Linked DNA regions of Oreochromis niloticus. The protein of the gene in region 1 interacts with the protein of each later gene in a biochemical or structural test. Links are inferred from orthologs where the notes say so. Each region holds a gene or a part of one and is shown in the gene's direction. Other genes may lie near its edges. The genes, in order: snta1, slc6a3, scn4ab and potassium voltage-gated channel subfamily A member 4.

What was found.
Region 2: the proteins of snta1 (region 1) and slc6a3 interact in a test that uses a peptide from one of them, tested with the Homo sapiens proteins (2 studies listed by BioGRID and IntAct). The link is inferred for Oreochromis niloticus from reciprocal best matches to the Homo sapiens genes SNTA1 and SLC6A3.
Region 3: the proteins of snta1 (region 1) and scn4ab interact in a test that uses a peptide from one of them, tested with the Homo sapiens proteins (2 studies listed by BioGRID and IntAct). The link is inferred for Oreochromis niloticus from reciprocal best matches to the Homo sapiens genes SNTA1 and SCN4A.
Region 4: the proteins of snta1 (region 1) and potassium voltage-gated channel subfamily A member 4 interact in a test that uses a peptide from one of them, tested with the Homo sapiens proteins (2 studies listed by BioGRID and IntAct). The link is inferred for Oreochromis niloticus from reciprocal best matches to the Homo sapiens genes SNTA1 and KCNA4.

The regions. Positions count from the first base shown.
Region 1 is NC_031970.2:7,142,602-7,150,752, reverse strand, and holds the start of snta1 (alpha-1-syntrophin), read left to right. Parts: upstream 1-4,972; 5' UTR 4,973-5,081; coding exon 5,082-5,364; intron 5,365-8,151. UniProt on the Homo sapiens protein: Adapter protein that binds to and probably organizes the subcellular localization of a variety of membrane proteins. May link various receptors to the actin cytoskeleton and the extracellular matrix via the dystrophin glycoprotein complex.
Region 2 is NC_031976.2:9,279,019-9,286,610, reverse strand, and holds the start of slc6a3 (sodium-dependent dopamine transporter), read left to right. Parts: upstream 1-4,455; 5' UTR 4,456-4,770; intron 4,771-5,439; 5' UTR 5,440-5,490; coding exon 5,491-5,547; intron 5,548-5,921; coding exon 5,922-6,132; intron 6,133-7,033; coding exon 7,034-7,165; intron 7,166-7,592. UniProt on the Homo sapiens protein: Mediates sodium- and chloride-dependent transport of dopamine. Also mediates sodium- and chloride-dependent transport of norepinephrine (also known as noradrenaline). Regulator of light-dependent retinal hyaloid vessel regression, downstream of OPN5 signaling.
Region 3 is NC_031969.2:35,485,697-35,492,907, reverse strand, and holds the start of scn4ab (sodium channel protein type 4 subunit alpha B), read left to right. Parts: upstream 1-3,965; 5' UTR 3,966-4,110; intron 4,111-7,211. UniProt on the Homo sapiens protein: Pore-forming subunit of Nav1.4, a voltage-gated sodium (Nav) channel that directly mediates the depolarizing phase of action potentials in excitable membranes.
Region 4 is NC_031965.2:10,259,969-10,267,394, forward strand, and holds the start of potassium voltage-gated channel subfamily A member 4, read left to right. Parts: upstream 1-4,223; 5' UTR 4,224-4,260; coding exon 4,261-5,733; 3' UTR 5,734-6,944; intron 6,945-7,426. UniProt on the Homo sapiens protein: Voltage-gated potassium channel that mediates transmembrane potassium transport in excitable membranes. Forms tetrameric potassium-selective channels through which potassium ions pass in accordance with their electrochemical gradient.

The DNA.
Region 1 (8,151 bases):
GACCTCTGGAGCTGTTGCCCTTAGCAGAGTAGGGGAGGGAAGCAAAGATGCTTGGAGGATGGCAGGAGAAGGCAGAAGGATGCAGGGGGACGTTGAAACTAATCAGTAGGGCTCCCCAACTGTCCACTGTCTTTGGGGAGTTGAGATATGCATATATGTGACTGACTGAACTAAGGGTGTAGAGAAGATAAGTTGGGGGGTTGTAGTCTGTTTGTCTGTTTGAGTGTGTGTACATCCATCCATTCATTTTCTTAACCGTTTATCCAACTATGGACATGGGAAGGGGGCTGCATTCTGTCCCAGCTGGCGTTGGGTAAGAGGCAGAGTACCCCCTTTAGGGGTTATAAGTTATGTGGAAATAATGCTTTAAGTTCTTAATTTGATTTCATTTATTTAACATAAATACAATACATATTCTAGTGTTTTAAGCAATTATCAAATTGAAATATATAAAAAATAATAGATAAAAATAATGATCTAGCAATTTTCACATGTGTTCTGTATATACAAATTGTGTTTTTACTTTGTTGTCATTATTATTCAAAAGTATTTTCTTATTACTTAAACAACAACAAGAGATACAATAGTAGTCTGATGTTGTTGAGAAGTGCTATAGGGTCATGTGAGTTGTCTTCAGCATAGCAGAAAACCAGTCTGCCTTGACTTAGACAGAAATGATGTTTATAGATTGTTAACATGTTAAACTTTTATTCAACTTACATTTAGTCATATATATTTATATAATAGTTCTTTTTTATTAAATTATGTTAGCGAAGATAAAATTAAATACATGGTCAACTTTTGTTTTTTAATGTATCATATAGTCATTTTAAGCATTTAAATAAGGTTTTTTAATATTTAAATGAAAATCTTGTATTTTATATCCTTTATTCGATCATTCTTGATTTTTACATGCAAGCCCAATATAACTGCACTGCTATTAGGTTGATCAGCAATGACATATATTCATGCAACGCACTCTGTTAGTGCAAATCATCATTCACCATTTTGGTTGTTTTTCCTGTACACTACAGAAAACAGATTTAATTTCAGGTCCTTGACTTCTTGCTGACTTAAGCTCTAGTGTAATTTGACGGTGCTCAGTATTGGTTAAATCCTGCAAGGACAATGGTGAAATATGATGTCATCCTACACTACTGTAAATGCAAGCACACTTGCAAACAAGTCACTACTTTAATGTGCACAGTTTCAATACTATATATGACTAGATCCACTCCAAACAATGCAACCAGTTTTGTGTTTTGTGTGTGAGAGATCCTTACAAATCCTGCTCTTCCATTCAGCTAAGCTTTGCAAATATATTAAGCTGTGCTACTGTGAAAGAAAGGCTGGCCTCCTGCCACTCACATCCCAAATAGACCAACAGATGCATAGACTGGGGGTCAGATGGTCAAACACTTGTCATAATGCTAAACATCACCATGTAGACCCACTTCTTAAGTCAAGCACTGTTGTTGAAGTCTCCCATTCATTTTTGCTGTGCTATTTATATGTGTGCTTCTATACATGTGCTAATTAGTACAAGGAAGTATCCTTTTCTAAACAAAAGTGTGGACAAAGGAGGATAAGGTTTATGGGTGGAATGAGAAAATGTGACAATAAACTTCACATAAATCATTTGTTTCATTAATTATGTTAAATGTAGCAATGGTAACTGAACCTCAAACCACACTGGCTGTATATAAAAGATGGGTACCCAGCTGTTGGTGGACTATATCATTTAGGGACCTTGGGTTGTTTAAAAACAACAACAACAAAAAATGCAAACAAGGAAACAACACTTTTAGACAAGAGCTCAAAGGTGGGTAATTTTTAGCTAATGCCAGCACCAACTAGTTTGGTTAGGCAGGTGGATCTGTAATTCATTGTGATTTTGAATGGGCTGCTAATTTTAGATATTGAAAAACAGGTTTAAAATATACTTACTGGAGAAACTGAATAGCCATTTCCTTTAGGCGACATGTTTATTGTTTTGGGGTTTTTCCGCCTTCTAGAACAGGAAGATTGGGATGACAGTCTTACATACCCTGCACACATGAGCTGGAACAGAACCAAACCCAGGCCTCTGAGCTGAGGGTAGACTTTTCTACATGGGGTACACACTCTGACAGGTGAGCTACAGGTGCTGTTCTTTTGTGCGCCGGTAGGTTGAACAGAACAGGACACTGCCGCTTGGCTACAACAAGCTCCGATACTAATATGTTCACATTGTACACTTGCCACAGAGTGGTTTCATCATAGTTGTGTCTTTTTTATTTTAAAACAGTTGCTTGCTGTTGCTGAAAACAACAGGGTTGATGTGAAAGCTGAGTTTGTATCACTTATTTGGAAGCACAGGAATCATCTGACTTCACTTTAAATTTGAAAATCCACATTTTTAACTGCAAGACTGTGTTCCCCATCACATCTATATAATATTAATGGTCACTATGCCAATAAAAACAAGCTCCATCTTGTATGTTGATAAACAGTATAATTATTGTATCTTTAGTATTTCCAAGTAAACCCTTTGTCTTTACTTTAAAGTGTCACCCTGGGCAACTGAAATGTCCAAATAATACTTGTGATTGGGCTGCACAGCTGGGGTCCAATATTTGTTTATATTGTCAAAATCTCTTCTTTTTTTTGCTCTTTGAGTACCATGTGCCTACAAATCCATGAATACTAATAGACATATGGTTGGATATGAGCTAAATAATCAAAGGGTATGTAATCCTGGGACAGGCTGTGGTTGTTTAATATCAGTTAATGACACAGTAATTGCATTTTAACCTTATACATATGGCCTATACTTTATAACTGCAAAATGTTTTTTCTTTAACAAGACTAGCAAAAAGTCAGAAATAGTTTCTCTTAATTCAGCTGTTTTTACTGTTTACTTATTTCTATCACAGTGAAAACCTCATCACATAACAATCAAAAGATGTTCCTAGATTTTTTTTTAAAGTACTGTATATGACATGTAGGAAATCTTTGTTATTTAAACAGATTAGGTACTAGTCAAATGTTTTCCAGTGTAGAGGTAATAGAGCCCTTTAATCACTAGAGGGAGACAAAAGATTTGAATCTAGGCTTTGGAATTCCCTGTTGAATATTTAGTGTGAAGCTGATCCATGGTCTATGACTTAAAAAACAAGTTGTTAGAAATAAAGTTGTTACATCAATATTCACTACAGTAAACATGAACCAATTAGAATAAAGTAAGCGTTGATATTTGAGTTGATTAGCTACTTTAGAATGATAAAGAAATGTTGTTGACAGATGAGCATATTTAGAGCATCTGAATGGGTTTAGAGCAATTTTCAGTCAAAGCTCCAAACTTGTTTTCATTAAGGGAGCAACTGCCTCTCAACAGCCCACCCAGAAGAGTGTTTTCCAACCCTGAGTGCTGGGACTTCTTTGCTATTTCACCTGCTGTGAAGCAGATGCAACACAGGCTGCCACACACACAGCTGAAGGGCTGACAGATACCTTGCCGATGCAACAGAGCATAGGAAATGAGGACTGCTTCATCAGCTTGTTTCAGTGACTCCTGCATGATCTTAATGTCTATGCTGCACAATTAAGTGCACCTCTGCTGAGTCACCACAACAGTGCAGTACTTATCCATGTTGAGTTTCTGTCAAGACCGAGACTGAACGGCTTGGCTTATTACTCCTGAAATCATGGCATATTAGGAAATAATTCAAAATAGTTATTGCATGTTTTTTTTTCACATTTTTCATTAAATATTTACGACTGACTACTAAATGAAAAAAGTGATAGCCAGAGTAGCAGATTTCTGCAAATTGCAACAGAAATTGAAAGAACTGCTTAACAGTTTGAACTGAAGAAATAAGGAAGGAAATAAAATAAAAATGAAGAATAATTTAGTTTGAACTGGAAATTTAAACTGGAAAATTCTGGACTGAATATAATTGTAACTTGGGGTAAGAATGAAAAGAACTGAAATTCCACTTACTGGCACTAATCTTCAGCATACGCAGGACTGTGTTTTTGGTTTTTAATGGAAACACCATGAGTTTGCATTTTTGGCAGTAGCCCCGGTGGAATCAGTTTACTAATCTAAACCACGATTCTACCTTCTATCTGCTGAAATTTTCAAACACAAACAACAAATTTTTCACGTATTTTTTAAGCCCATTTCTTCACTGCCATGGAATTCCCAGTCTGGGAGATGAGGTCGTTTGGTCTTGGTCTGTATCCAGCATTGATTCATCCTTTGCGATGCTCAAACACCTCATTTGGTACCTACTGGAGAAGAGCTTTGGGGTAATCATGCTTTGTACAACATCATATTGGTCACGTGTCTGCTTTTAACAACATTTTATTGGATACTGATCAGCTTTAACTATGCCCCAGCTGCTGCAACAGGGCATCAGTGTCATGGTACTGATGGGCATTTATGGCCTCTTTCAGTGCCTGTTGTCCTGAAACCCATTTTGAATAAAAGCCAATAAATATCATTGTTCTGATTAACGTGCAGGCTTCTTCATGGTAACATCACACCCACTGTTTTCTGTCAGCAGAATTCAAGCCGAAGATGCTTAGTGGGTGTCATTCCCGATATAAGCTCTCTTCACTAAAAATGCATTTCTGGCCTTGAAAGCATGTCGATGTTGTTTTCCTTATTGCAGAACTTATGCATATATACATATATATATATGCGCAGTGATTTTGCGCGTTTTGGGCACACTGGAAATGAGATCTGTGATGTGAGGCTGGGTGTTGAAATACACTCGAAATAAATAAATAAATAAATGAATGAATCAAAACTTAATTATGCGTGACTCAACCTCACATTGGTGATTAACGGATGGGCTGAACAAGAAGCTCTTTGAACTTTGAGTGTGTGTCAACACCGTTGCTAATCGCATCGCCCTCGATTAACTTTACTTAGCCTACTACTGGATAAACCTCTTTTGGAGGAGGAGAAAATAGAGGGAGGGAGGGAGGGAGGGGGGCTCAATGTGTGTGTCTGCATGCCCCCTACCACAGCCCTCTACCCCCTCTTACAGGACTGCCAGCCCGTCTAGAGTTATTCCAGGAATGCGTTGAACATGGCTGCCGCGACGAAGGCGCAGAAAACGGGACTGCTGGAACTTCGAGTGACCGTGGACCGCTGGATCCGGGTACTGGCTACACTTACCGAAGATAGTCTCACGTTAAACCCCGGTGAGGGCACCGAAGAACCCGCGAAGCCAAACCCGAGTCCCGCTGGTGCTATTAACGGAGACCCCCCGAACCTCAGCTCGTCCCCGGTCCCGGAAACCATCACCAACGTGAAGCGCACGGTGCGAGTTACCAAGCAAGATGTTGGCGGGCTCGGAATCAGTATCAAAGGTAAGGTAGTTTACGAAAGTATCTTAAAGATAGCTAACTGCATGAACGGCGAGTTACTGTCAGTTAACACAAGTTTTGACTACAGCGTACCTTCTGTCACCGACCACGAAAACAGCGGCCAGTTAACTTGGCTAACTTCAAAAATGTGCAACAATTCTCAGAAACGTGCGTAAAATGCAACTTTTCCGCGATTTGCTCTATGACAAATATCCGTTCGTGTTATAACTCACACGTTTAGGTCCGATGTTAGCGCAGAAAAACGACAGCTGTGATTTTCTCAAGCTGTTTCTCTGCTCAACAGGGAACCATTTCAGTGCACCACAGTCACCGGAGACGGTAATTAGTTCGCTACTGTCATGTAACGTTGGGTTCCACCGTGTGCCCCCAAACAAACACAAAAAATAAACACTAGTTTAAATAATTTAGATAACTGAATTCAGAGAAATCAGGAAATGGCACGTGATTCTGTTTAACTCGATTTGGGTTTTAAAAAGTTTCCACAAATCCCCGAATACTTTCCGTAGATGCTTATTACCCAGCAGTGTCGACACCAGCAGTTCATTTAAACATATTTATTTATGGACTACAGACACCAAACAAAGCAGGTTTTAAACCTGAATATTATGCGTTATCAACCAACATTATTAGTTTTATTAGATCTAACTTCTGATTATGAAGCTGTAACACCAATAAAAATATGTGACAGAGTTAAATCCCGGCTCTACAGAGTATTTTAGGTGGTTCAAAGACCTTTTTGGCTGTTGAACTTTGCCTTTGAATGAGCAAACGGGAGTAGACATGGACACAGAGACCTCTACTACACATAGTGGCCACAAGAATATTGTTTCTACAGGGACTTCTCAATGAAGAAAGGTTGTAATCTCTCCATATCTTACCAGCCAAGCCTGCATACCTGCCGTGTGTTTTGCAGCAGCTGATAAAAGACTTTTCCTTGTCCTGCTTCCACGAAAATAGCCTATCTCTGTGGGGATCTCAAACTGAAGATGACTAGGAAGGTTGAGCAGTGGTGCTATGTAAATATAAAAGATAAAACGGACAGGAATGTGATAACAAAGTTTTAGGAATGTTTTGGATTTTATTATATTTTATAGACGGACAAATATCACAGCTTTTGTTCTTGAAATTTAGTAGTGACTGATAGATTTACACTTTTTCTTTTTACACAGCTTGCTTTGTGTCTTTATATTGTCTTTATAATTGAATCTAGAATATGGTCATTTTCATATTCTTGCCACACACAGTGGGGTTCCGCCTCCTTGGCTTTAACTAGAATTGCTTGAGGTTATTGTGGTGAACTTATGATTCTGTTGTGCAACTTAAATAAACACTGTTTGAATTTTTAATAAACAACTGACACAGAAAGATTTGTTGCAGACTGATGTATTTTATACTGTGTTTCTTATTTTGCTTGGGTTGTGATAAATGCAAATGCAGACCCCACAATTCTCGCCTAAAAAGTCAGCTTTTTAAATTCAGATTTTCCTGGTGGGTTGTAAATATGTACTGGAAGAGTTTTCCTAGAATTACATATAAAAATAAAAATCTAATTAGGTTTCTTGCACAGTCTCAATAAATCTCATTATATTTTTAATCATAACCCCTGTGTGATGACATGTATCATATCAATGAATTATTGTCAGTTCACAACCCTAAGTCACCTTGTGTTGTAAAGCATGGACTGCCAAGGCAGTAAAAGGTGTAATAAATAACAGGCATGGATCTATAAGCAGCATGTGTGGGTATAATTGCATGTGTGTGAGCTGTAGTTTCCTCCTGGCAAGTTTGTCTTCCCAGGTAATCACTTGGCGATTGGTTGATGCACAGTGTCGATTTGATAGATAATTGTAAACTTGCATTATTGTCATGTTGCAAAGATGGCTCATCATTGTAGCTGCTGGTGACATCTTAATTTTTAGTCCCCCCCCCCCCCGCAATTCCCACCAACGACAAAACAAAGCCAAGCCCTAATGACATAATTGTGATGTCCATCTGTGGAAATGGGTGGGTTTGAAAATCAGACAGCATGTTATTAAAACCAAATCATAGCTAGAAGCCTTTTGGCTTGACATTGTTGTGATGCTGGATGTTCAGAGGCAGTTTTGGGAGGAAGGGTGTACAAGATTGAAAGTGAAAGGTGCAGGCAGAAAGAGCAGGCCAAACAAGAAATGGTATATGGGACAAGAGGTCAAAGAGGTCAAAAGAGTAAAAAGAAAAAAGAAGCAGGAAGAAAAAAGTGTCAGAAACGCAGCGGGAAACAAATGAAAGAACAGAGAAAAACTTGTATGCTAGTTGACACCGCATTGCGAACAGCTGAGAGAAGCAGCTCACAGCAGTCAGTTGTCATTGGCTAAAGATGAAAGCTATGTGGCTGGGAGTGGAGTACTCCACTAGTGTTAATTTTAGGGAGCCCACCCCAGCTTGAGGAAGAGTACGGAGGCAACTTTAACTCACATGTCTAAATTTAAGAGGGGAGGCATGGAATCTAGACTCCAGGTCTCTGGACAGGCCGAATGGTAAAAGTTTGCGTGTCTCTGCAGACATTTTTCCTTCTTCGGAGCCACTGAGGTGCACGGTCTGTGCATATAACCACAATGACAGTCAGAGGGATTGCTACTTTGAGAGAAGGCAGTTGGTGAACAGTGCCATGAAACAATTATTTCACTTTTAAACCATCCCAGACATTGTTTTAATAGTCCCTATGGGTTGAATTCCACTTGGGTGGGCCAAATATTATGAAACCATGTTTTGGTTCCTGAAGCTCTTATA
Region 2 (7,592 bases), on another chromosome or scaffold:
TCATCTCAGGATTGTGGAAATTTTGTAGCCTGAAATTGAATTTGTGAACTTCTAGGACTTGGCATCAGTGTAAAGATTTGAATGACTTAAACCTGTTTGCACCGTGAAATGGATAAGTATTAAATCTACTTCTTAGTGATGTGATTTTTCTAATGCACAGTTAACAGTTCACTCTGTATGTTTGAAACCATACTGTTTTTGTATATAAATGGGGAATCTTATTTTGAATTACGGCTGAAACAGAAAATCAATATTTCAGCACCTGACAGAGAATGCGATTTATTGAGCCACATGAACCCCTCCTGCAGTTTTACTTTAAATGGAAAGCTCCACTGGACGGTCAGAGGAAGATGATGTACTATGATATGTATTCAAGTCAAAGATGTGCTTTTTATATAGTCAGTATTTATATTCAGAACAATTCTGCATTGGGGCTATATGAAAATACTATTTCAATTTCCTTTCGTGACTTTTTTGTCTCCCTCCACTCACATATTTTCATTTCAGGTACCTCAGTAGAGGCAGTTTTTTTTTTTTTTTTTTTTTTCCCCCTGACTTTGTATCAGTCTGAGAAAATGTAAACCTATGAGAGAACTTGTATGCTATTACTGCCTGCTTAAACAGTTTATCCAACAGTGAGCCTAAGACGAAAGACTTGTGTACTCTGAAAGAGTGATATTATCTTTCTGATGGCTCACTGTATATGGACCATGAAACTAAACTACTTTTCTCCTGTAGCTTTACTTCAGACTTCTTTCTGAACAAGTTTTTGTTTTTATTTTGTTAATGCATTTTGATGATTGAGAGTTTTGAATTTGTTCAGGACTGCTATGATATAACTTGTTAATGTGACTCGCCGATGGAATTAAAGAAGCATCAACACTCCTCCTGTCTCTGTCACAGTGTTATTGGGTCATCCTGTAACATAGGTTTTATTATGTGAGGTTGGGGTGCAATGACTTCTACATCAGTGCAAGAAAGCCTTTGCTGTGAAAAAATTCTATTTGTAATTATGAATTTAGCTTTACTGCATGTTAAAGATATTGAGAAAAGTGTAATTGCAGCATCAATTTTTAGATTGTTTTAATCTTCCATGTATGGCTTACATCTATAACCGTGAATTATAAGGGTGATAGAAAGGTAGTTAGGCCACATGTTCTACAGTCATCGATTTTCTTGACCTGTTATTGCATAAATGCCTCCCTCTTGAGGCAACACAGAGAAAATGCGGTGTTTCTTTTTTTCTTTTTTCTTTTTTAAAGTCAAGTCCAGTATGTTGAGCTGTGTAGTAGGCTGCATGACGGAGACTGGGGTAGGAGAAATCCATAATGGTAAAATTTAAGTTAAATATCTAGCAAATTATGTGACTTACAGTAAGTTGAGGTCATGTTTATGAAATGATTTACACAAGTATATTCAGCCATTTAATTTCCCTCCACCTCACTTTTTTGTCAGACATACTTTAATGTCTATAGAGAGGTGACCAGTCTGTTCTGTTCACCCAATTCCACCACTTTGAACCACAGTGAAATGTTTTGTCATAAATTATGTACATGTAACACACTATACATGTACATAATGGGTTACATACAGACATTCAAAGTTCACAGGGGATGAATGGTAACAATACTGGTCGTCCCTTGACTTCCTTTAGTTCCAGGAGTGTGTAATTCAATGAATTAAATTTATTTTCCATGCACTGTTGTTACTTGGAGGCCTCTATAGTGTGACCTCTAGTGTTAATGTATCAAGTTCCCCGTTTCAACTACAGAACTCTACATACTAAGCAATTCTCAAACTCTGCCATTGTGTAAAACATCCAGCAACAATATGCTACCATGCTTGCATAAACATTTAGTACAAAACCTCAGTGTGTATGTACTGCCTGAGCAATTACCATGGCTGTAGACTCTTCAGTCAGTTGAAATCAATTGCTCAATAACTGTATGTAAGACTTATTATTGTTACTTTGTAGTTACCAGAGGCTTTGTATGTAACTGAAAAGTGCTAATGGCATTTTCCCAATTAGAGAACACAAGTGAGTAAAAAAACTGTTTCAAAAATAATTTATTATTGAATTAGACTTTCGGGAGTCCCCACTGTGATGCTCAGGAGGTTAAATAGGTTAGTCTGTGGAGGGGAGGAATGTTCTTATTGTCTAAAATCAGTGCTTATGCTCATGACTCAATGGGTTAAGAATTTGTCCTCATTCCTTCTCCTGTATTGCTTTTTTCCCTCCTTTCATGATCAAGCAGACGGCGCTCACAAGGAGAAAAGCGGACTTGTGCTTCTACTAACCCTCTCAAATCATCATCTAGATCTAACTGCTTATTCAAAGTAGAAAACTCATTGGAATGAAAAGGACAGCTTCAGGTTGTAGTAGTTACCAGCTAGTAATACTGTATAGTCTTCTCATTTTAACATTTTTCTCATTTTTTTTTCCTTTTGCATTGCCTTTCATTTCCTCGTCTGCCATTCTTTCCTCACCCTTGCCTAGCTTCTGCTCCTGCTTGCTCCCCTCCTCCTCCTCAGGACCCTTCTTCTCTGGGTCTCAGCTGTTGCATTTATGAAAACAAGACACTCGATTATGTTCAACTCATCGTTGTCCAAGCTCTGTCGGAAACCTCATAATTCCAGCACGGCTTACATCGACCCAACAACTTCTGATACGAGGCTTGAAGGATGATTGCACTTTAAAGGTGTGTGCGTTGTGTATTGTGTCAGTTGAGCTGGGGTTGGTGGACAATTGATCACCATGATTGGCTTGCAAACAACAAGTTGCCATTCTAAACATGAGTCATACGGCTGTCCAAGGGGAGCAGGCTGATTGGGTTATTCAATGCCCTGGTCCTGCTGTGGTTAAATCTGAAATGGAAGGGGTCTAAGTGTCAGTGCTGATTCTGTTTTGCCTGTTGAACATTACAGGTAATGACATTTTTGCTTGGACACAGTGTGTCACTTGGTCACTGAGATCTTTTTAAAGGTAGAAGAGGGGGGGTCAACTAAGAAAGACCTTTGATGTTTACCCTGGGTTTTACACATAAGAGACAAAATTCTTAAAACCTCCCAAAACACCTTACTTCTAACTCCGCTTCTTACTATTAAGCCCCAAACCAAAGTTTCATTTATTTCAATTAGTATTTTGTTTGCGTGTGTGTGTTGTTCTTTGTGCTACTGACACTGATTTCAAGTGGGATAGGGTTTGATGCATATTATTATTATATACGGTTGTCTTTTCTTGCTGCTGCTCCCAGTGTTTTATTTCTTTTGAGGGTTTTCGCTAATGCTAGCTACTCCACGACACAGGTATTGTTATAAGCTAGTTTGAATATCAGGTGAAACCAAGTTAGAGATTTTATTTTTGAGAGACTGAATCATTGCAGTTCGTTGCATAATGGTATTCTGTGCCCATGCTGATTCGGCCAAGCCAACCTTTTTGCGTATTTATTTTTGTTTTTTAGACATTTTTTAAGACAAATTAAAATACATTTTTACTAATTATATGTTAAAATTGTTATTGTTATGGCAGCTTATTCAAATCATATAATGGTGATAATGCCTCAGACCCACTACAAATTAATTTCAGATGAACTGAATAGTTTTATTTTGGAGGTTGAAGGAGCTGTATAGTTTTCTTATTTTTCTCCCACCCTCTTTCTTCTATCACCCTTGGGTATTGAGATTGCAATGAATTGCTGCCAACTGTATTGCTGTTAAAGGTGAGTTCCCTGAACATAAAACCAGGAAAGTCTATGAACAGCTTTAACCACAACCACTCTACCATATATAAAGGGTGGCTGTAGCTCAGGAGGTAGAGCAGGTCATCTACTGATTGGAAGGTTGGTGGTTTGATCCCTGTTTCCTTCAGTCTCCAAATATCCTTGGGCAAGATACTAACTATGCATCCATTGAAGTATGAAGGTGTGAATAGTGGATAGAAAGAATAAAAGAAAGTGTGAACTGGTGAATGTGGCATGTTGTATTAAGTGCTTTGAGTTCTCTGGGAGAGCAGGAAAGTGCTATATAAGAATCAGTCCATTTACCAATACAGCTGTAGGTTAGATGCAAAATTAAGGCTTTTCAATGTAATTAATAAAATTATATATTTTAATTTATTTATGTTTTAAAATGTTTTTATTGTACTTTATTTTATAAATCTTTAAGCTTTAAGCTCTCACTGCTGTCTTATCCTTGGGCCAGAAAAGATTAGGTGCTTATGTTATACAGCTATAATGTATCTGAATCAAGAGGATGATAACGATGCTGAAGGTGCATGCATCTGGGAATAAGTGTTGCAATATTGTATTTGCTTTTTACCCCCCTCACACTTACATGGATATATGATGGGTGAGAGAGGAGGAGGAAGACATGAAGCTTGAACGAGGAGGGAGGGAGGAGAGTGACGGTGATGGGGGGGTGTCGTTGATTGTTTCTCATATTTCAAGAGTGGTCCCGCAGACAGATCGCCATACAAACCCACAGGGTGCTCGGGGCTCTGTGTGTCTGTCAGTGGAGCCAAGGAGGGTGGGAGGGCTTTCTATAACTCATAGATTGCCAGTTCCTCATTTTTTTCTCTCTTAATTATATCTAATATTTTCCTCTTAATCTTAAAAAGCTTTTCCCGCCTTCTGTTTGTCTCTTGCTTTGAGTCTAACTTATCAAGGAGGGTCTGCGTAAATATGATCAGCATCAGTTTACAGCACACTAAAGAACATCAGCACTGGAATTAAATCCAAACTGACATCGGGGTTCAGCTATTATTTCTAAAAGGTAAGAATTTCATTTTGTAGTTTAAAATGTTTTGTGCTTTGTAACTCCGTATTTCCCTGTATTAATAGCATTAAGTTTTATCCTATGTTGTTAGTAAAAAAAAAAAAAATTTTGGATTTTTTGCATTTTATTTACAATAATTTGATCCTTTTGAAAAGATTTAGACAAAAACAAAAAAACAAAAAGAAAAAAATGAAAATGGCAATTTTGGGCCTAATATTGTGTTTTATTTCACATAAAAAGTATTTTTGTGAAATAATTTTTAACCAAAATTAAATCTGGAGTACAACATGTTGGTAGATAGCGTGCATCCATACTAGGCCATTCTGCAAGTAAAATGGTTGTAAGCACTTGTGAAATAAAATGAGCATGCTGTGATGACCTTGTAGACATGCTCCCCCATCCCTTCTTGTTACCCTCAGTCTGAATCAAATCACTCTCAGTTGTGTTTTCTCTCTCTTTCTTATGCCGCATTTAAATTTTGTAAAAAAATATATATTTATGCTACAGTTTCAGTGTTTAAAAGCGTCTCATTATATTGTTCTTAATCCTTAATTTTCATCCCAGTGATCCTTTTGATGATTTTTATACTTGCATCAAAAACCTTATTCTTCACAAACGGAATATAAAAAAAACCTTCCTTTTTTTCTGTCTTATTTTGTGCTCAAGACTCGTCAGCTTTACCTACCGAGATTTCACCTATTACCATTTTACACCGTGATGTCCTCAGTTGTAGCCCCAGAAAAACCCACCTCCAACACGATGGGTCCAAAAGAGGTCGGTACACATCTAAGACACGCAGTGCTGTTACTGTGCAAAGGTCTCAGTTTATGAAATGACTGCATTTGCTCTCTTATCTTTGTCAGTCTTTGTATTGTACTAAACTATATAGTGGAAAAGACATTTAAAAAAAACAAAAAACCCTAACTGGTAGTGCATAACATGAATGCCTGGTAAGTGCAGTGTAAAGATTAGTATTATAAAATATGATGCTTTTTTTTAAAGAATGACAAAAATGGTAAAAATAGTACAAATAATAGTATTTTACAGTACATTTTCTAATACATCACCATGAATAACATGTTTTAAGGTGTTTGTAATATTCCATTCTGTGTTATGCATGGTTGATTTTAAACTTGGTGACCCTTCAGGTGGAGCTGATACTTGTAAAGGAACAAAATGGGGTTCAGTTCACATCGACCACCTTAGTGACTCCAACTCCGACTCAGACTAACCCCAGTGGGGAGGAAGAGAGGGAGACCTGGGGAAAGAAAATTGACTTCCTCCTGTCGGTGATCGGATTTGCTGTGGATCTGGCAAATGTCTGGAGGTTCCCTTATCTCTGCTACAAAAATGGAGGAGGTGAGACTGATGAAGAGACTGACGTGAGGAAGCTGTGTTTTTTTTTCCTTTCTTTCTTTCTTTTTTTTTGCCCCAGTCCGGGGGATTAGTCTGCCACATTGAGAGGGGTAGGAGGGCATAAACATGGTGACTATGTTGAAAGCAAAGGCAAATAAGAAAACTAATGAAACAGAGAGAGAAGAAGGGGGAGAAAAGGAGGAATTAGTTACAGGCTAGAGTACTTTATGCATGCATGTACTACATGCACATATTTGTGTGTGCTTCAGATCTGTGTGTATGATGGCCGCTGTTTTCGTCTTATTTCAACCCTTTACAGAGATCAAAATAGGGGAAAAACCACCACAGCTGTTCTGAATAGATTAGCTCTAACAATCAGTGTCACTAATTATGGCTGTTTAACATAGAGCTCTCATTATGTTTAAGAGCTGTAAATGATACTGCAGCTATGGTCAAGGCTAACACACAGCCTTTCACGTCGCTAAGTCTAATATGTATGTAAGGAAATATGACAAATGTTCTGTCAGAGGCATAAACTTTATCTTCAAAGACAAACTACACTTTTATATATGAGCCCCCTCTTTTGAAAATTGTGTTTTCATTTTATGAGAATAGTCAATTATTGGAGTAAAGAGGGTAAAAGGAACCTGTCAATCATACAGTGGCAGTTTAACGTGGAAAGAAAAATTTTAAAATACTAAATACTACATTTTCATAATCTGCGTTGACATTTACAGGTGTGAACATGTCTGCAAGACATAAGTAAATAAATGTATTTATTTTTAAAATTGTGTGTGTGTGTCTGTGTGTGTGTGTGTGTGTGTGTGTGTGTGTGTGTGTGTGTGTGTGTGTGTGTGTGTGTGTGTGTGTGTGTGTGTGTGTGTGTGTGTGTGTGTGTGTGTAGGTGCATTTCTGGTGCCGTACCTGTTTTTCATGGTGATAGCAGGCATGCCTCTCTTCTACATGGAGCTGGCTCTGGGTCAGTATAACAGAGAGGGGGCAGCAGGAGTCTGGAAGATATGTCCCATATTTAAAGGTAGGAAAATGTGTGAAGGTAAAATCAAATGTGACAGACACTTACTCACATATGCAAACACTCAAGGATATTCGCACACCCTCTTAGGAATATAAGAAATGTATCATGGGACGAGTTGCATTTTTCTGTATGTCCATCTGCCTACATGGCTGTCTGTCTGCTAACATTCTCCCTTTAATCTCTACGTGTCTTTCTGTCTGCTTGTCTGCCCACATGCCTGCCTGTCCACATGCCAGTCTCTTTTGTCTGCTTGTCTCTGAGCTGAGCAGCGACAGGCATTGTTTATCCTCCCCGGAACATCAGGTTCTGCTGGCACTCACATGGAAAGCAAATGAAAATTGGGCTTTTAGACTTTTATTCTGATTGTCCGCATCCTTTTGTGTCACCCAGTGGCAGGTAACACTGGCTGACGCTTGTTCTGGGTACT
Region 3 (7,211 bases), on another chromosome or scaffold:
AATAGATATTAAAAACAGCAGTAAGATCATCGTAAATAATTTGATGATTAATAACAAGCATAGTTGAAATATAAATCATATTATATGAATGTACATAGTTTGTGGAATCTATTTAGTCACTGCCTCCCCCCTAGGCATGATTTGCTTAACAATCACACTGTATATAAGAGCACTGTAAACTGATTTTCTGTAGGAAGGGGAGATGGTATAGGATTTAAATATAAAAAAATAGATTTCTTTTTTTCCCCCCCTCTTTTTTCAGATGAAACGGGGGTAAAAGAAGTATATAATGTGTTTATATTTCTAATATATAATGAAATAAAGTCAACTAAAAGACCCACTAAGAGATATGGTAGAGAACAAAAGTCATATAGTACAGAGGATGCAGGAGTAATGGGGTGGAGACCTACGGACCTCTGTTTGCCAGTGCACTTTAACCATAGATATGGAATAACGAAAGCTCAAATTCCTAATCCCTAACTCACCATGGTTGGATGGACTTCAGACTGGACCCTGGTGTGTTATGGCAGACGCCGTGGACAATCCGGGGTCCAGGCGCCTTACCGAGGGATGGCCCGTGCACCGCCCGCCTCCAATTGGAGGAGGGGCCCAAACTCTCATCCTAACCATTTTTTGGGGGGTTAATTCCTCTAAATACATAAATAAATAAATAAATATTTGATTACAATAAACAACAATGTATTATTACATATCACAAATTATGTACAACAAACAACAAATGGGGAATTGGGACATATTGGGGATCAAAACTTTATTAAAACCATTAAAAACATGACATTTGATTTATGACCCCTTTAATCACTTCATAATTTACAGTTAAAACACAACAACAGTCATTAAAATCACACACTTTATTAAAACCCTTAAAAACACAATATTGCTTAAATATACAAACCCCAAAATCATAAAAACATAATTCGGTGACTAAACATACTCATTCAAGTTTAAAATTATAAATATATTTCTCTGCAAAACCTAAAAAATTCATAAAAACCTAATTGGATTAAAACATACAACTACAAATTTCTAAATCTTATATACATCACTTCAAAAACATAAAATTCTTAAAAATTGACATAATTTACAAAATACATTTCATAAAATACAATTTCATTACAAAGGTTAAAAAACACACATTCACTGTAGTCTAAAACCATCACAGACATTTGAAAACACATTGCCAAATCCAAAATTCAAAAACTCACGTACACGAAACCAAGCCTATAAAAGGCTGCACAGCAGAGAGGAGCTCATTTGGGAGCTGACCGTTGAAGAGACAACATCTCTCTCTCTGTGCATTCCCAGCTTAAAATTCATTGTGCCCCAGCCTGAGGAAGACCTATCTTGGGTCGAAACGTCGCGGCAGTGGGCACAGTAATTCATTGATTTTCACTTATTAAAAATTAAAAAACTTTATTAATTTCATTTATTTTTTATTTTTATTTAAAAACACAAATTTCATTTACGTTTTTTCTTTTTTCTCGCCTTTGTTTGTGATTGTAAATTCATATACACATTTTCATATCTAACTGACATAAATAGCACAGCAAAACAATTATTAAATAAAGATAACAAAGGCGACATCAAGAGACACAGAAAACAAAAAATTAAAAATTCAAGACATGGGGTCCCGGATGGACTCGGAGGGCTGGACGGTGGTGCGTCACGGGAGAGGGCGGCTGCCTTCCCGTAGACGTGTCCAGCAGGGGACAAGCGGCAGAGGCAGAGGGATGGACAGAGCACCGTCTGGACCCTTCAGGGACCGGACTCAATTCCACATCCCTAACCCTAACCCCCCTAACCCTTATTTCTTTAAAATTTAAGTTAAAACTTACAAATTTAAGTCAAAAATTTAATTTAAATTTTGGTAGGAAAACCAATTAAAAAGCACACGCCTCCATCCAACTCACCATGGTTGGATGGACTTCAGACTGGACCCTGGTGCGTTATGGCAGACGCCGTGGACAATCCGGGGTCCAGGCACCTTACCGAGGGATGGCCCGTGCACCGCCCGCCTCCAATTGGAGGAGGGGCCCAAACTTTCATCCTAACCCCTAACCCTAACTAATGTAGAAAGACCTCATTAAAGCTATAATTTTAACACAAACATTTATACAAAATGCTAATGGAGCCATCACAGCTTTTATTGTTATTTATCAAGTTCCAAAAAATATTGATCACAGCTGATCTGAAAAGAATTTCATACCTCAGGCCCTTGAACTGCAACCTTTACAATGGTTCAGATCTGGAGAAGAAATAACAGGGGCATGGGATGGGTCACTAAAGAAAAATTAACTTATAAAACAGTTTTGTTTTTAAAAGTATAACAGTTCACATACCACATACAAGCTCAGCAGTACCACATACACCACATCAGGTAAAGGCAGGATCTGAAATTTATACAGTAAAACAAGAAATTCATTACTTAATTTCAAGAAGCAAATTATTGATTGTATTACAACTAAATAAAATACTACTCAGAAGAAAAGCAAGAGATTGACACTGCCATGTTCTAACTTTCTATAGAAGCAATTATCACCAGGTCTGTCGACTTCCATTGTCTTCCCACTCATATGTTGTGAATAATTTTATTTAAAAAAGTAAGTGTGTGATTTAACAAACTGTAATTTATAACTATGCTGATGTGTATAACTCCGCTAGGAAACATGCTGTATTTACAGACCATTTTTACATAATACAAATTACTGATAGAGCATAACAATGGTGTCACAGTGGCTTTCGCCCTCGACTTTTTGGATTTTAAATGTCACTTTATGCTATCCTTGCTATCCTATTCGATATTTATGACTCTCGGATTACAGTAAAGGAATCCCAAGAAAGTAAATGAAAAAATAACCCCATGAACCCCTGTAGCTAATCCCTTAAAAAAACCAAAAACAATAAAAATGTTTCTTACACAGTCCACAAAATAAGCATGTCCAGGACCCAGTAAAACTAATGTATGGCCTGCATTTGTATAGCGCTTTACTCAGTCCCTAAGGACCCCAAAGCGCTTTACACTACATTCAGTCATTCACCCATTCACGCACTGTAGAACAAGCGCACGCAAACGATATAACATGTCTTATAAGACAAACGCAAAATATAACCATGCTCGACATGTAGATACTACAAAACATAGTCAAAGAAAAAAGTGGTCTTACCTCTCAAAGAAACAGCAGCTTGGCGCCAAAACAACGTTTTTAAGTTAAATTTGAAGTCTTGCGAATGAGCAGGCCCAAGCCGTGAAACATTGTTGTTCTTCGCGGTTTCATTACAACTGTTTTTGCATTACTGCCACCTAGTGGATATACAAAGTATATTGATCCTAATTGACTTAACTTAAATGTTATGCCATCAAGTAACACATTAGTATTATGTACAGTGAATAATAGACACAATTACGTAGACTTGATTAGAAAAACATATGTTAACTTAACAAAAAAATATATTTTAAGTAAAATGAAAATAAACAATTAATATACACTGAACAATCCACCTCATTCATTTTTTTGAGTGTATGGACAGTTTCATTTATTTCTATGCATGTATTTAAAATGAGTTTGTGATCACGTGACCCAGACTCTGTGCTGCTGCAGGACTTTCAATTCCTCTCATGGCTGCATAAAACCTTTTTATGACTGTTGTGATAAAAACTTAGCACTACGTTGAATCTAACTTATCCTTGGTGAGATTCTGCTTTCAAGAGACATTTTAGATTTAAGCTCCTCGGTTGTCATGTCTCAAATGGGAATACATGCCATATATCATGCAGCTTTAAAAACAAATCTATTTTTGACCAATTAATCTGTTGATCTTACTAAATGTCTCTTTTATTATTTTAAATGAGGGGTTGATAATTTTATGTTGTCAGAAAGGAATTTCTAAAGTTCTGATGGGAACTGATGAACATGTGGCTTTGTGTGTGTGAGTGTGTGCTGACACACTACCTGACCTCTCAAGTTTCAGTAAGAGACGTAGAGTAAGGCAAGGCCAGAAGACGTGAGACAGAGAGAGAGATACGGACAGGCAGCATGGTGCTGTGACCGATGTTTACTGGATTTATTGTGGAAGAAACAGCAGAAGCAGGTGAGGCTGAACTTTATGCTTTCAGACGTGAAGTGAAACATAAGATTTTATAGATTTTATATATTTTATATTTTATAGGTTCTGTTGACCTTTCGTTTGTTTATGGAGCAGTTTTTTGTAATAATTAAAGAGACATTTTCATCTGATAGTCTGAATAACTTTTCCTAAAAATGTCTAAAGTTACAATTTTCACCAAAGATTCAAAGTGCTTTGGATTCTGATTTAAATGTAAGAACAACATTTCATGCTTTAGTTTTCACTTTGAAACAACCGATCCTCCTTATTGTCCTGCTTCTCAGTACACAGTGTGTGTGTGTGTGTGTGTGTGTGTGTGTGTGTGTCTTACACCTGTTGCGTTGCTGTTAACCTGATACCCTCTGTCATCATATCTGCACATCATCAGACACTTTTTAGCTTAAATGAAACAAAATATCAAAGTAAATCAAAAGTAGACTCACTTTAATCAAACTGCTCTTCTTTTTTGCAAAGATGGTGGTTAAAAAAACAAACCAAAAACACAGAGAATCAGTCATTTAATCTTTCCAGGCAGGTTTGGACTTTTGAATTCCCTCTATAGTGACCAGCCTCTCTACTTGAAACTTGTGTTAAAGCCTCACAGGAATGTTCAGCTGAGTGGGCTGTGCTTGCAGGTTTGGCGTGTTTGCTACCTGAGTGTCTGTAAGATCGAGTTATGAGGATGAACTCTGATTGTTTCACTTCATGCTTTTGCTGCTAGAAATATAAAAAGGTAAAATAAATTTGTCTTGTTGCCATGGTTTTATGACGTGTCAAGAAAGATGCTTGAGGGAATGATAGCGTAAGATGACATTAGTTCACAGTTTAAACAAGCAGGAGCGTCTGAAGTGTCTGACGCAGAGACCGTGGAGTCTGATTTTTTTCTGGACCTTCTTATTTACTGCCCAATGTGTAAGTCTGAGAAACCAGAGCTGCTTCTTTAACATCTTTCTGGCAGATGGTGTCGTTGATCTCGTGTATCAGTGAGTTTCACACTGCAGCAGCACCTTGTGATTATGGAGGTTAGCATTACTATGCTACATTATCCACGCTAAATGCGACTCAGACTTTAATAGTTGTAAAGAGGGTTGGGTTTTATAAGACGGAGCACTGACTGGGTTTAGAGTTTAAGGTAAGCCAGCAGACATTATTTATAGGCCAGCTGACTGTAGTGAAGAAGCTGATCAGGGATCAGATATTAACAACTGCTGGGACCAACTACTGCTGCTTTCTAATATAGCTCTGTGTGGTTGCAGCCAAGCTGAGCACTAACAGAGGAGGGTCACACCAAAAGGTTAAGAGTCTGCCACAGGAAATGGCGTTGAGCTGGTCACATTAGCACTATTAGTGTCAGATCAGGATGCTATGTTTGCTATAAGATGAGGTGGCAGCTTCTGACCAGGAAACATTTCATTTAAATTGAAGATCACATATCCGGTTGCTAAAACGTGCTTTGCTTCAGAACCGACAGGTGTGACAGCTTAATCACGTGTGCTAGCAGCTTCTAACCTCACCTCACAGGCCTGTACTCTATACATAAATTATGCTGCTGCCCGTGTTGGGTAGGTTAAGTCAGCAGGCACTTATGCTGAAGACAAGAGATCCTACATGTAAAACCACCATTTATTGACCAATCAGATCTCTCCATTACTTAAGCTCTCTCAGAGCTCACATTGCCAGAGGTTTTGAGGTCTTTGTTTTTATTGGTTGAGTATGAATATGAGAGACTATCAGTTACTGAGCTGCTCGGTTGTGTATGCTACTCTGCAATTTCATAAACCTGCTCACCATGCTGGTATGTTGTCATTTAGTTGGATTTGTCTGGGAGTACAGATTGTTCTTAACTCTACAGCCATCCATGTTCGTGATTGGTGAAAATTAAAATCCTTTTAGTGAAAAGCTAGAGAACCTGGATTGGCTGCCTGAGATGATAAATCATCATCATGTGACGCCCAAACAGATTCTTCCTTTTGTCTCCCACTGAGTGACATGTTCACATTAGGTCCCAAAGATTTCATCACATCTGCTGCATGATTGTAGACACAACAAGCCCAAATCCCTGCTGACAGATTTGGAATTTTTGAGTTTCGTCTGCTACCACGACATTCTTTTGAACAATAAATGCCCCAGGCTTTGTAAATAAGAATGCAACAGATTTATCCAAGTGTAATCCAGATTTAGGTCCCCAGGAAAACCCACGACAGCCTAAAGAAGAGCCTGTCATGCTCCAGAGTATTCTCATTCCCAACACATAACCCTGTCAGATGTGTTTTCCAAAGGGCTTCATGATCAATATGTAAAAGACATTTACATGTATAGTTTAATTCCATCTGGATCTCATGCCTGCGAACGCGTAGCATACCGGCGATTTGTCGCATGTCGGTATGTTACGTGTTGGGATGAGAACGCGTTGCATGGTCATGGGTAAAAGGAACCCAGTGTTTGTGTGTCTTGCTTTGAATGTTCTTGGATTTAGTTAGTCTCCCTGTGTTGCTTGTGTCTCGCCCAGTGAGGTATGTTCTCATGCCTGTTCTTTCCCAGTCCCTATGGCAAGTCCGTGTCTCAGCGTGTGTCTCGTGTTTCCTGTTTTACAGTGGCTTGCAAAAGTATTCGGCCCCATTGAACTTTTCCACATTTTGTCACATTACAGCCACAAATATGAATCAATTTGATTGGAATTCCACGTGAAAGACCAATATAAAGTGGTGTACATGTGAGAAGTGGAACGAAAATCATACATGATTCCAAACATTTTTTACAAATAAATAACTGCAAAGTGGGGTGTGCGTAATTATTCAGCCCCCTGAGTCAATGCTTTGTAGAACCACCTTTTGCTGCAATTACAGCTGCCAGTCTTTTAGGGTATGTCTCTACCAGCTTTGCACACCTACAGACTGAAATCCTTGCCCATTCTTCTTTGCAAAACAGCTCCAGCTCAGTCAGATTAGATGGACAGCGTTTGTGAACAGCAGTTTTCAGATCTTGCCACAGATTCTGGATTGGATTTAGATCTGGACTTTGACTGGGCCATTCTAACACATGGATATGTTTTGTTTTAAACCATTCCATTGTTGCCCTGGCTTTAT
Region 4 (7,426 bases), on another chromosome or scaffold:
ATTATTTTGAAAACAACAATTTGTTGTAATGTGTTTCTTTCAACCACAGTGGTTAAAAATCTCAGTATCAAAACAATTTCTTGTTTGGGCCTCAGGAGGAAGTAAAACATCAAGATCATTTCTTACTTTGAACGACTGCCTAATCTTAAAGAATCTGTCTTGACTTATTTAACTGGCTATAAATGGGACCCAGTATATCTGAGTCCTGAAGGCATCATGCCATGAATGAACACCTATTTACTGTTTGATGTAATCAGAGGGCCTCCAGGGTGTGCGCACTCCTGTTTTCATGTTTCATGTTAAAATCAGTTTCAAACAAAAAAAGAAGAGGTACGGTTTCATGGTCTTTAGCCTTACATGTTATTAAATAATGGGCAGCACGGTGACACGCACTGTTGCTGCACAGCAAGAAGGTCCTGAGTTCAATCCCACCATCAGGCCGGGGTCTTTCTGTGCGGAGTTTGCATGGTCTCCCCGTGTTTGTGTGGGTTCTCCCCGGGTACCCCGGCTTCTTCCCGCAGACCAAAGACATGCAGTTAGTGGGGATAGGTTAATTGGTCAATCTAAATTGTCCATAGGTGTGAATGTGGGACAGGTTGCCAGTCTGTCTCTGTGTGTTAGCATTGAGACAGACTGGCGACCAGTCCAGTGTACCCCGCCTCTCGCCCTATGACAGCTGGGATAGGCTCCAGCACCCCCCACGACCCTGAAAAGGATAAGCAATGGATGGATGTTATTAAACATAAAAATCAACAGAGTAAATAACCTGTTTAACCCATCTATGTGTGTGAAGGTTTAACCAAATACAGCAAAGCCCTAACCTGAAATTGTACTAACCCATAATTTTAACTGATTATGTGCTCTACATTTATGTGTGTGTGCGTCACAAACCCCCCCAAAAAACTTCACAGCCATGTGTTACACATTGCTTCTTAATCATAATGGCATGGTGGGTGCCCTCACTTTATCCCCTGCTCAGGGTCCAAGGGCTGGCATGTCCTCCACTGAGCGTTCACCTTCCTGCTCTGTCTGGTCCTCCTCCACCTCATCACCGGACAGCACGAAGTCTGACTCCCCTTCTACAATTCTGAGTAAAGTCCTTTCCGCCTCAATCCTTCCTTTGCTCCTTGAAGTGTGGATATGGGTTGAAAACAGGAATGAGTAAGTCCTCCTGTCCACTACACAGAACACTGACTGTGTAATGGACAGTATTCACAGTTCTTTGCATTTTCCACAGTTTGTCATGTTACAGCCTTATTCCCAAATGGGTTCAATTCATTTCTCACCTCAAAATTCTACACATGATACCCCATAATGACCAAATGAAAAAAGTTTGCTTGAAATTCTTGCAAATTTAGTAAAAAATTATATGAGAAATGGTCATTTTGAAAAGAAAGCCCATGTGGAAACTTGAAACCCTGAGATGTCTCCTTGACAGTAAATTTGAGTAAGACTCAAATAGATTGCATGAATTGTGCTCGTGGAGGTCTCAGACTCGTGTCCCCCCAACAGAGGACAAGAATGAATCGCTGGGTCAGAGGAGGTTAATGAACACTTTGCATTCTGTTTCGAGTGCTCTCCTAATCAAATATCAGAGGGAGGGCGGGCACAGCGAACATGAATTATTTGTTTTTGTGGCCTCTGTGAACATTTTTTGTTGTTGCATGAGCTAACCTTTTTTCCTGTGATAATATTAACAAAAAATAATGTTAAACGATTGTTAGGTGAAGTGAAATTGTATGAAAAGTATTTCCAGTGCTTTAAATTCACACTTTTTTTTAGTTACAATATATGGACGTATGTAAATAAGTGATGTATGCATTTTCTGATTTAATATGAGAAAATAAACAACAACAAAAACACCGATTAATTTGTAGGAAAGTGGTTGGTGACTGCAAAATGAATAGTTAAAATGTTAGGTTAATGTATTACTTTTTTTATGGTGGGGACACACAAACACACCGGTTGCTACCCAGCAGTGACCATGAAGGGCAGATGAAGCTCGGGTGAAAGACTGCAGCACGGTGCGCAGTGACCGGCTGCATCCACTGGGGGAGGACCGAGCACCGCCTGCACGAGCTGCGGTACACGAGCGACTTTCTCACCGAGACTCTCCATCATCACACAGACACACACACGCACACAGACACACACAATGGGAGGGATCCAGGAGTATAGGTAGGGATACGGCGGCAGACAGACAGATGTGCGATGCTCAGACTTAAACCATGAAGCCATCCCCCCTCGCCCGTGCGAAGGTAAACTTTTACCCACCCTCGTATCTTGTCTTCGTGTGGAGCTGTCATTGATGCCAACTCGCTACGCGCACACCTGCTACTTCCTCCTCTTCTTCTCATTCTTTTTTTCTCCTCTGGAGGGGGTAACATTATTGCTCTCGTCGTAACCAGAAGCGATGCAGCAGAAACGGAGGCTGAAGTGGCGATAGATCCTGTTGAATTGAGACAAGACGTCGAGACGCAGCCAAAAAAAGTGTCCTCTCCAGAGTGCGTCAGAGCACGGATGTGTGTACTGGATGTGGATATGGTCGCTGCGTGGATACAGCGAGGGATTTTGCGGCGTTACCCTCCAAAATCATAACGGGGATTTGAGCGAGAGTGAACAACTGCATCCTCACCTAGCCTCTCCTTCCCCTGCTTCCTCCATCAGATTGGTTTGTGAAGAGGGGGGGCGGGGGAGGGGGACTGAGGCGATGTCGTTTTGGCCCCCTTTCAGATGTAAGTATGGATGTTAGAATAAAGGGAGGATACTTTAATGCGTAAATTGTATTGTAACCATAAATGTCTTCCATATCCCTTTGTGTTCACTCCATAGTAATAATGATGATGATAATAAGCATGATGTATTTTGATTGTGTATTCGATAAAACAACACACATCGATATGAAGGTTTTGTTTTTATTTGCCTAAACCAACTGCTGTTTTCTCCTCTCTTCTTGTTCTCGCAGCTCCTGAGAGCGTCAGAGGAATAAAGTCATTCAGATTCACCGGAGCTGTGTAAAATAACAACGGAGATATCTCTCCCCCTCTCTCTCTCTCTTTTAAACTCATCCTAAAATGGCAACCATGAGTGACCAGGGAGGATCAAAAGACGCATTCGGGCGCAAACCCGGCTCGCGGAGAAATTAACCACCTGATGGGCACCGGAGAAACAGAGGAGAGACTGTTTTGGTGTCGCTTGTTGACTTGGTGATTTACAATGCTGAGCAAATAAGGGGCGCTGCAAGTTTGACCGAGCGTCTGCGTAACAGGCTATGCCACCGGCCTTTACATCTGATCTTTTTCCTTCTTTCTTCTTCTTCTTTTTTTTGGATATGGTAATGATGTCATGAAATACCGGAGGAAGGGGGGGCTGTACCTAAACTGGAAGAGATGGCAATCAGTATCATGTAAGTAGGATACATGGGATTCGCTCAGCATGGACCCGTTTGAGGTGTGTTTGCTATTCTGACTTTCTCGCATTCACGACTGATTGGTCGAGAGGCTTCATGCCTCATTTTGTCTCCCTGCGCGCGCTGAGCTGCAACTTTTGTCCTCTGGTCTGCGTCCACATCACAGCGCGCGAGCGCTTACTGTAAGCGTCCGCGGACCGAAGCGCTCACTGACTTAAAATGGAGTTTGCCATGGTGGGCGCGGACGGTGGGTGCAACAGCCACCTGCCTTACGGATATGCCCAGGCTCGCGCGCGGGAGAGGGAGCGCGAGAGGGAGCGCCAGGTTGCCCACACCAGAGCGGCGGCCGCAGCGGCTGCTGCCGAAGGTGGAACGTGCACGGAGGGAGGTGGTGGAGGAGGAGGAGGTAGCTGCGGTGGCGTCGGGGGGTCCACCTCCAACACCTCCTCGAGCGCTCATCTCCTTAACAACCGCCAGCATCAGTCTCGCGCCGCCTCCTCCGCGAACGCCAACATCAGCAGCGGCGGTACCGCCTCGCGCCCCTCCTCCTCCTCCTTCACCTCCACCACCACCACCACCACCTCCACCTCCTCCTCGCAGCAGAACCAGCAGGAGCCCGAGCAGCAGCAGAGATTTGTGCGAGAGCGGAAAAAGCAGCGCGGCGTCGGACGCTGGAGACGGAACCGGGGCACTCTCGGCGGGGACCTGCGCCACTCCGAGCTGGCTCTGCTCGGATCCGAGGAGGACATCATGATAGAGGAGGAAGAGGCCGAAGGAGCCGAGGAAGAGGAGGAGGGGGGGAGGGGGGCGGGGGGGACCGGGGGAGCAAAAGGTCGAGTTTTTTGTGCAACATGGATGATGAGGAGGAGACCGTGTCGATCACCGACAGGCGGCCCCAGTCCGGATATGAAAACGTTTACAGCGAGTGCGGCTGCTGCGAGAGAGTTGTCATCAACGTGTCGGGTCTGAAGTTTGAAACTCAGCTCAAGACGCTCACTCAGTTCCCGGACACGCTCCTGGGAGATCCGGACAAGAGGATCAGGTACTTCGACCCGCTGAGGAACGAATACTTCTTCGACCGGAACCGACCGAGTTTTGACGCCATTCTTTACTACTACCAGTCAGGCGGGCGCTTAAAAAGACCAGTCAACGTCCCATTTGACATATTTTCCGAGGAGGTCAAGTTTTATGAACTCGGGGAGGAGGCGATACTAAAGTTTCGGGAGGATGAGGGCTTCGTCAAAGAGGAGGAGAAACCTCTGCCGGAGGATGAGTTCAAGCGCCAGATTTGGCTGCTCTTTGAGTATCCGGAGAGCTCGAGCCCTGCCAGGGGGATCGCGGTCGTGTCCGTCCTTGTTATTGTCATTTCTATTGTGATTTTCTGCCTGGAGACGCTGCCGGAGTTCAGGGATGACAAAGAGTATCTACAGCCACGAAACAACTCCTCTCAGCCCGATCACGGATTTACACCTTTTAACGACCCGTTTTTCGTCGTGGAAACGGTCTGCATCATCTGGTTCTCGTTTGAGATTATAGTTCGCTTCTTTGCCAGTCCGAGCAAAACTTACTTCTTTAAAAACATTATGAACTCCATAGACATTGTTTCCATTTTGCCTTATTTCATTACTCTCGGCACGGACCTGGCGCAGCATCAGGGCAACGGACAGCACGCGATGAGTTTCGCCATCCTGAGAATAATCCGCCTCGTCAGGGTGTTTCGCATCTTCAAGCTGTCCAGGCACTCTAAGGGGCTGCAGATCCTGGGTCACACCCTGCGCGCCAGCATGAGGGAGCTGGCCCTCCTCATTTTCTTCCTGGTCATAGGTGTCATCCTGTTCTCCAGCGCGGTGTACTTCGCTGAGGCGGATGAACCCACCTCGCAGTTTACGAGCATCCCGGACGCGTTCTGGTGGGCCGTAGTGACCATGACCACAGTGGGTTACGGAGACATGAAGCCCATCACTGTGGGTGGGAAGATAGTGGGCTCCCTCTGCGCGATCGCGGGCGTGTTAACTATTGCGCTCCCGGTGCCGGTCATAGTGTCCAACTTCAACTACTTTTATCACAGGGAGACCGATAACGAGGACCAGCCGCCGGTGGTGGAGAGCATGCCCCCGGGCTGCCCGTACTTCCCTGACTTTCTAAGAAAATTCAAAGGCTCGCCCTCTGGCTCCTCGCTCGGCGACAAAGCGGAGTATATGGAAATGGAGGAGGGGGTGACGGAGTCGCTTTGCGGGCTGGACAAGAGCCCCAGTAAAGGAAACGGCACAGACATAAGCAGAAAAAACAGTACTAACTCAAAATCCATTCAGACTGACGTGTGATTACAATTAGAGTTTATTATTATTAATTATTTTTCCTGAAGAAGAAGAACACGCCCTATAAAGATAATTCTAAACATCATTTCTGCCCAACAGCAGGTGACCCCCTCCCGCTCACACTTCCCCAACACAAGTTTGAAACACGCCTCAGACACACACACACACACACTCACACTCACACACACACACACACGTTCATGCCACTGATTGGCAGGCTGTTATGCTTCATCTCTCTCTTTCCCCTGTTTTTAACCATCGCGCACTTCTCTAACAGCAGCCTTTCCCCCAAACCATCTTCACCACACACCAGTCTATTTGTTCATCTAAGCTGTGCGGGCTTCCAAATCTGACATCAAATTGAAATTCTAGTGAAGACAGGCTATGCATTCGCACTTTATGAGTTTCATCTGTCAATAACAGAGAGGTATAGGGATCGTTTTTGCTGTTATGCAATAAAGTTCAAAATCTGTTTGCACTAATGTAGATTTTTTTTTTTTTGCGCTGGGTTTTGGCAGATTTGTATTCAGAGACAGAAGCTGTAGGCCATGAAAGTGGCGCGTATTTAGTAATCCTCTGACCACTTCGCTAAAGAATGTTTGAACAACTTCCTCACAGAGAGCAGACTAAGGATATTAATAATCCCCTTTATATGCTGCCAGTAAAAGTAAAGAAAAAAGAAAAAATTGGAAACGAAAATACGGATAAGTCTTTTGTAACTGTTCCAGTATTTAACATTAAAGAAAAGCTAACTGATAAGACAGCATTTAGTAAACCAGGGCTACAGTTATTTCTATGACACCTACACAACTATGTTTTTCCACAACAGGCCAAAAGAAAAAAAAAAAAGCCTTGTATTGCTGACCCACTGCGAGAGCTAAGCACAGGAATTATCAGTTTATAAAATGGCTGGAGAAATGACTCGCCCCAGGTTTTGTATGGACATGCTTGTTGGAACCTCGGTGACAGCAGTTTTCCCCAGTTTCATTTAAAGCACCTCAAAATGACAATATCCCTTTACAAGGAGGCAGATGGAAAGTTAAAGCAAAAATGACTCATCGTGGAAACTCATTGGAGGGGAGCTTGCGAGCAATTTTCTCTCCTGTCTGCTGGACTTCGTGCACAATTCCTTTCCCCCCCACCCCGCCTCACCCCCCCAAGAGGACTGCGATTATCTGCGAGCTCGGAGGATCGTCATGATGTGGATGTCTTCCAAGGTATGTGGCCCACAGCTTGTGTGTGAAAATGATTTTTTTTTAAACAACCTTGTAATGATCAAAACAGCTCCAGTCACGTTTTTAATGGAAAATATATGCCACTAAACAAGGTCCCATCTCGAGATAAACACTTTTATTCCGAGCACGACACCCTCACTTTTATTTTCAAACACTCCCGTGTTTCTTTGACAACAGAACCACGCGTGAATGCGCGTGCGTAAAGCCCTGTAGACGCTGGAGGAATGTGGCGCACATTTTTCCAGTCTTCATGTGGCCAGTTGATGTTTCTGCTGTACAACATTTAAGCTGTGTTCAAGTGTCATATGCAAAACCAATAACTGCAAAACTAATAGGGTGACATAAGTCAGATTGCTGCGAATTTGTGCCAAATATTTGGAAAGATCTAACACCAGGAACTGTGTTTCTGCAAAACTAAATAGTAAGTATGATCGCATGATGATTCTAAGTGCTGCAGAATTTAC